Drosophila melanogaster: one gene and its partner. The protein of the gene in region 1 interacts with the protein of each later gene in a pairwise test. Each region holds a gene or a part of one and is shown on either strand. Other genes may lie near its edges.

Region 1 (3,754 bases):
CTGCTGCTGATCAAAGCCCCCTCCTGACCCACTGGGACCTCCACTCTGCTCAGTCTGGCAACCGCTTTGCAGGTGCTTGGCCAGCAGGGACATACGCGAGAAGGACTTGGTGCAGGTGGGGCACGAGTACTTCTTCACATCCGAATGGGTTTGCATGTGCGCGCGGAGATTTGACCTATCCGCGAAGGCCCGATTGCAGTGTTGGCAACTGAAGGGCTTCTCTCCCGTGTGGGTGCGTATGTGACCCTGGAGGAGCCATGGTCGCGAAAACGCCTTGCCGCAGATGGGACACTTGCAGGGCAGGGTATGCGTGCGAATGTGCATCTTCAGGGCGCCCAAGGACACATAGGTCTTGTCGCAGTTCTTGCAGCTGAAGACCTTCTTCACCTGATTGCCCTCGGCCGACGGACAATGGAACTGCTGGTGCTTAGAGAGTCCCGAGTAGGTGGAGTAGCTCTTTCCGCAATCCTGGCAATGGTATCGCGGCACTCCCACTGGCTTTTGCATGCTCTGTGCTGAGGCTACATTAGCTGCCTGAATCAAAGCCGAAGCTTGATCCGTGCAAAACTCGGTTTGGTCGACTATCGCACCTGATCCTCCAGGCTGGCTTCTAATGATCTTGTACTCGGTGCTTTCGTAGGCGTGCGTTTGTTGATGCTTTACCAATCCTGCATAGGTGGCATAGCACTTGTTGCACTGCTGGCACTGGTAGTACAGATCATTGCTGCTCTTGATCTTCAGCTGGTTGATGTCCTGATTCTCCTGATCCTCTTCCATGTCTATCGGAGGCGGCGCATGTTGCGGAGCCATGTGTTGCATGCTCAGCAAAGCTCTGGCCACATTCTGCAGATTCATGTTTTCGCTCAGCACTCTCCTCTGGGTTACGGATAGGTCCTCCGGTTCGGCCAGTGGAGTCGGGGGTGGATAGAACAACTGGGGTGATGGAATCGGAGGTATCTCCTCTTTGATGTTCTGCATTTTCATACAGTCCTCATACTCGGCTATGCTTTTGAGTAGGTTGTTATTGTAGTTTCGCAGGGGAAATTGTTCCTCATCAGAGGGTTCAGCCTTGATGATGGTTGGGCTAGCATCTCTTGTATATCGAAGAGGCAGATGCTGTTCTGGTTCCGGCTCCGGCTCCATTACTTCCTCCTCAGGTGGCAACTCGAACTCGCCGTAACCCAGGCGAGCAAGACTCTTGGCGATTTCCTCCCGGGTGAAGACATCCGGAAAAGCGCGGGCTATCTCACGGGTTTCCTCCCAAATGCGACGGGCCAACTGCTCCTTGGTCTGATTCATGGCTGCATCGAAGCGGCGCCTCAATTCCGTGGGCACCGGCTGAGGTTCCGGTTCGGATTTAGCCATCCAATGGGGCTCCATAGGCACTGCAGCCGAGGCCACACTCAAGTCCACTGGTCCTTCATCTGTTGAAATCAGCATAAAGTTAAAATATGCCTGTAAATCACTTCCGTAGCCTTAAACCTACCATGACTTAGGTGATCCTCTGGGCTGGACTCCTCCACCATTATCGGACGCTTCTTGAGCGGGCAGCGGCTGTACTTGAGTTTATCCATGGTTGCTATGTTATTATTCCTTATGGTTACTGATCACTGATCTTCGATTTTGTATTTAATACCGATCCTTGAACTTAAATCACTGCTCACTCATTTGCTTTCGCCACACGCGTCTCGATCGCTTGGAGTTCCTTGCTCGAATGATGCAACCCGGCAAGGATCAGTCCGGTTTTATAGACTCCCGATCAACCCCCTGGCAGGATGATCAACCCCCTGGGCAAAAAGGATCTTGGCGTCTACCTACTTCCGATGTCGCCCGGGATTCTGTAAATCCACCCCGAACCACGAGCCAAAAGATCCATTCAGCGATCGAGCCACAGCTGTGCGTTCATTGAACGCAGATACAGCTGCAGATCGGGCAGTCCGGGGGTACCACTGCCATATAGAGAATCGTTGAGAGAGGGAGGGACCTGGAGACGAGAGGAACAAATCTGTGTGTAAAAAGCGAGCACGTGCCACAGGGACTCTCTCCGTTCCACTCGCCGATCGCCACCAGCTGCCTCTCTGGTTCAGCTCGTATTTCCCCTGAATTTCAATGGTATGAGTGAGCGGCAGCTGGTGGCGAGCTTGCTATTGCTATATACCCGATCAAGTTTATTTATAAGCCTCTTTCGGGTCCGCCTCACACGATCGCTTTGTATATAAGCCTAATGGACGTTTGCTCTTCGTGAGCAGGTGAGCATGCTCTTTGGAGCCCCACCAAGAGAAGTTTCGTACCCCACAATTTTCAACTCTCTTCGCTCTTTGGGGCGCTCTTGTTCCAACTGTCAGTCGTCCCACGAACTTAAGAGATAGCTTTCTGTGCTATTCGGAGGATAATTCAGCTGTGTTTTCTTAAGCTTCTTATTATGTTTACTATTCAAATTTTTCTGAGCTGAGCTTAAACGATCACATATTCGGCTGACTTTGCTGATCGGAGAGTGTGAAGATTTTTCAGGGGCTCGACTTAGGAAATTATGCCCAAATATTTAAATACCATAATAATTAAAACGTTCTCAATTAAAATCATTAAGATAGAAGATATTACAATAAAGGTACAGGAAAGTTGTTCTATTTTCTCTTTCAAAGCTTTTCATTTGTTGTATAAAATCGCACGCTGTTACAGAAGAAAAGAAGCACTTAGGATTCCAATTGATCCTTATCGGAGCGATCCTCTCCGGCTGGCAGCTGAGTAGGATCAGCACGTGACATTGGCTCCGCCATTAAATCGAGCCAAGCTACAATGCAATGTACCCACTTAGACGTCCACAAAAATATTAATCACCAGGACAAACAGCGCGCAGATCTAAGGTAAATCAACCTTTCCCAGAGTATTGTTCCGGTTCTCCGCCTCCTCGTGTATCGGTGCACTCGGCAGAAATAACCCCCTAACGGCCATGAAATTTCAATTCCCGATATTAAAGAATCCCGCCATCTGCCAGCGACCTCCAATCCACCCCAAAATGGGCATGTGCCCGGACAGTTACCTGGCTTTATTTTTCCGAACGGAGCTGAGTGCCTTGGAATGCGCCAAAAGAGAGAGGTTCGTGCAAATCTACCTGGCGCAGTGGTCCCACCCCAAAATCCACGGCATCACCAGACAACCTTCGTCGGAATAAAGCCGGTGATGGTGGTGGAATTGCAGTTTTGGACGTTACTTTCTAGCCAACCCCTCGTCGAGCGTCTTGCAAGGAGAGTCGCACCCCCCGATCATCATCTATTCCCACATCTGCCGACTGTGACACGTACCACAAGGAACTGATTTCGTCTTGGAACTGATTATTCCATGCCACGGGTATTTGGCGCCAAAATCCTGTAACGAACTCAGCTGGCCGGGATGTGTTGTGATCCTTGTAACAATAGGAAATGTTCTCTGATGGTACATTGAAAAGTGATTTTTGAATTATAATTAACTGGAATTGAGAAACTATTAATCGGTCTTTGATGCTTCGTTGGCTCATCTTTTATAATGAAATTTTAATTCAGGGTAAGCAAATTATGCCTTCAATACTCTAAGATCAAAAAATCTGATACTGATCTTTTATGAAGTGTTTAAGATTCAAAAAACCTTTAGAGATTGCCATAATTAGAGTGCTAAGTCTCCCGAGTTCTTTAATGTATATTTAAGCATTCTACAATATACAATAATATTCAACAAAAATATTCTGTTTCTGATCGGATTTTCTGCCAATAAAAAGATT
Region 2 (3,754 bases), on another chromosome or scaffold:
AGATGCATGGGGGTTAACCATTGAACTCATGTCTTGAGTGCATCCTGCAGCTTTCGCCGCGCAACTCCGACCCGATCCTCCTGTTTGCGTATGTCGTCCTCCGAAATGATCACCGCGTGCATTAGCGGTTGTTCAGGATTCATAAACGCCATGGCATTCTTGGTCAAATCAGCCTTCGTAGAACTCTGGCCGTGTACGCCGGCGTTGAGCATATGCAGGGCCGTGGCCACCGACTGGAGGACGGTCTGTTCGTTGACATTGGGGCCAACGGTGCGTATGGTCTTGGGCAGTGAGATGTCGTCTAGCTCCTCGCCACTGTCGTGGCAGGCGCGTAGTCGTTCCAGTCGCTTCTCCCAGAACAGCTGTTTCGGCTTCTCCCGAGTGCCATGCTTGGGTTCATTCTTCGCTTTGGCGGGATCCTGTTTATGGTTGCGAATCACCGTCACCGGTTGCTTGAAGATCGAGGCAGTCTGTCGAATGGGAGGCACCAGGGAGACATCAGTGCGCAGGGCTCGGCTGTAAGGGATTAAAGATTGGAAATGTATTAGAGAAACGCCTTCAAAAAGCTAAAACACCGAACAGCACATTAGACAAAGCGTAAAGTAAAGCTTTAGCATGCAGAGATGGTGGAACATAAATCTCAGGTGGCACAGAGCTACAGCGTTTTTGAAGACAACTACGAATTGTTTTGCCAATTGTGTGTTTCTTTGGGTATTTTTTCATTTGATGCTTTTTAATTGCCGCAGGCTGTAGACCTTGCGTCCTGGCAAACAAGACATGACACGCTGACATGCAAGAGTCAAGTGCTCATCCACTTGGCTCTACCTGAGTTCGATCTGTTGCTGCTGGCGATTGGCCGTTGATGGTGAAGCAGATGCTGCTGTCGCTGTTGCTGCTGACGAGGCGGTCGCTGCCGGAGGAGCAGCTCCTGCTGCTCCTGCAGCATTGCCTCCTTGACTCCGGGCGAACTTGCGCTTGAGGGCATTGGCCGCCGATCCGCTGGTGGCCCCATTACCGCCCCCGCTTGCTATAGGCAGCGGCATGGCGCTGCAGCGGTACAGCGAAATGGAGGGCGAGGGCAGGGCGCAGTGCGGCATTTTGCCAGGCTGGAAATCAGGGATTGCAATGTCCTGTGGCTTTCCCTCCGCCCTTTTTCCTGTGGGACTGCTGAACAGACACGGCGGTGGATGGATATTTTTGGTGGGTTAGGTGGTAGTTCGTGTGCGTGTGTATACATAGGCGTATGCGTGTGTGTGGTGTATATGGTGTGTGTGTGTGTGGTTATGCGGATGTAATAACAGAAAGGTAGTGAAAGTGATTATAAACGTTTATCCGATTAAACAGCGTGCAGTGTTCCGATTTTAGGTATATAGTAGTCTATATAGTAATTCTGCTCTTCTTCTTTACCTGTAGTAGAAAACATCCACCTTGTTATTGTTGTTGTTGCTGCTGGCTGTGGCACTGCTGTTGTTGTTGCTGCTGGCGTTGTTATTGGCGCTGCTGCCGGACTTTCGGACCTCGTCGCGCTGCCATCCCTTTGGCAGGACACTGCAGTCGACGCGTTTGCGCTCGATTGTGACGCTCGGGTTCATTTGCATGCTCGCCGAAATAAATAATTAACAATTCCACAAAAGCAGCGTCTGGGCTAGCAGTGTGGCCGTACTGCGGATGGCCACAAATGCCGGATGGCACAATAGTGATGCTAGATTACATTCTCCAATATATTTATGATTTGAATTTAAAGGTACCAATGGGAAAATGAAAATAATTTAAAAGGTATTTATTTAAAAACAGAAACCTTAAGATGTTACACCTTGCACATTTTTCATTTCCTTTAAGCTTAATTCGCTAGTTAATCAGCAGTAGACCAATCTCACCTGGCCACACTGCCCAACACCTGATGTGAACATTTCACAGCACTGGTGGGCCAACTAATAAGAAAAAGAAGCAGCAGAAAAGGCGACGTAAGAAATTCCGGAGTTTTCATTCGCATTTTCCAGTCTACGAAACGGAATATGTAAATCCAGCCCATTGATAGACCTAGCCCACTCATCGCCACCTCGCGACAGTTGCCAACTTCCACGCGCAACGCCTGCCGCGAGCAGTAGAACCATCGAAGCGACCTCCCACTCGATCCAATTGGGAATTTTACACCTGGGACAAGTGGCAGCTGCTGGGAACCAAGAGACATGTCTTCGTCGGCCATTTTCGTTCTGGACGTGAAGGGCAAGGTGCTGATATCGCGGAACTACCGCGGTGACAACATCGACATGGCCGTGATCGACAAATTCATGCCATTGCTGATGGAGCGCGAGGAGGAGGGCCTAATCACTCCGATCCTTCAGACGGCGGAGACTACATTTGCCTACATCAAAACGAACAATCTTTATATCGTATCCACGACGCCGCGCAATAAGAACGTTAATATCGCTCTGGTCTTCGTCTTTCTGCACAAGATCGCGCAGGTCTTTGTGGAATACTTCAAGGAGCTGGAGGAGGAGTCCATTCGGGACAATTTCGTGATCATCTACGAGCTGCTGGATGAATTGCTCGACTTTGGCTACCCGCAGACCACCGACTCGAAAATTCTACAGGAATACATTACGCAGGAGGGTCATAAGCTGGAGCTACAGCCCCGCATCCCGGTGGCCGTGACCAATGCAGTATCCTGGCGGTCCGAGGGCATTAAGTATCGCAAGAACGAGGTGTTCCTGGACGTTATCGAGTCGGTGAATCTTCTCGCAAACGCCAATGGCAATGTGCTGCGCAGCGAGATCGTGGGCGCCATTAAGATGCGCGTCTACTTGTCGGGAATGCCAGAGCTGCGACTGGGTCTCAACGACAAGGTTCTGTTCGAGAGCACGGGCCGCGGCAAGTCAAAGTCCGTAGAGCTGGAGGACGTCAAGTTCCACCAGTGCGTGCGGTTGTCACGCTTCGAGAATGACCGGACAATCTCGTTCATTCCTCCGGACGGCGAGTTCGAACTGATGTCCTATCGTCTGAACACGCATGTGAGTATTTTTATGTACTTAGCACCAAAATGCAAGACTAACTAAACCCCTGTTGACAGGTCAAACCCCTGATTTGGATCGAATCAGTGATCGAGCGGCATGCCCACTCCCGTGTGGAGTACATGATTAAGGCGAAGTCTCAGTTCAAGCGAAGATCGACGGCCAACAACGTGGAAATCGTCATACCAGTGCCCGCCGACGCGGACTCACCCAAGTTCAAGACCACCATTGGAAGCTGCAAGTACGCACCGGAGCAGAACGCAATCATCTGGACGATCAAATCGTTCCCGGGTGGCAAGGAGTATCTAATGCGGGCACATTTCGGTCTGCCGAGCGTGGAAAGCGAGGACAATACGGAGGGCAAGCCGCCAATTCAGGTGCGCTTCGAGATTCCCTACTTTACCACGTCGGGCATCCAGGTGCGCTATCTGAAGATCATCGAGAAGAGCGGCTATCAGGCGCTGCCATGGGTGCGGTACATCACGCAGAACGGCGACTATCAGCTACGCACCAATTGAAAGGGGCAACTCCCGTTCCTGCATCATTCCAGCCAAGCTTCAGCGAGTCATCCTGCAACAGGTAGCTTCATCTCCACCCGCGTTTTTGTCTGCGATGCGTTGCGTTAAGTCAAAAGTATATATTTGTATTCGTATTGTTTCAGTATATGTATATTGTATGTAAATCAAATTTAATAAATTTTAACACCTTTTCATAACACCTGCACCAGAGTGGGTCACTTTGTA

The links. Proteins that work in one complex are often made in the same cells at the same time.
Region 2: the proteins of wor (region 1) and AP-1mu interact in a two-hybrid assay, tested with the Drosophila melanogaster proteins (one large-scale study listed by BioGRID).

The regions. Positions count from the first base shown.
Region 1 is NT_033779.5:15,423,857-15,427,610, forward strand, and holds the start of wor (worniu), read right to left. Parts: upstream 1,725-3,754; 5' UTR 1,575-1,724; coding exon 1,487-1,574; intron 1,425-1,486; coding exon 1-1,424.
Region 2 is NT_033777.3:9,557,685-9,561,438, reverse strand, and holds AP-1mu (adaptor protein complex 1, mu subunit), read left to right. Parts: upstream 1-1,913; 5' UTR 1,914-2,189; coding exon 2,190-3,011; intron 3,012-3,070; coding exon 3,071-3,529; 3' UTR 3,530-3,727; downstream 3,728-3,754. Other genes in the region: MBD-like (Methyl-CpG binding domain protein-like), read right to left, coding at 27-516, 826-1,167, 1,408-1,598.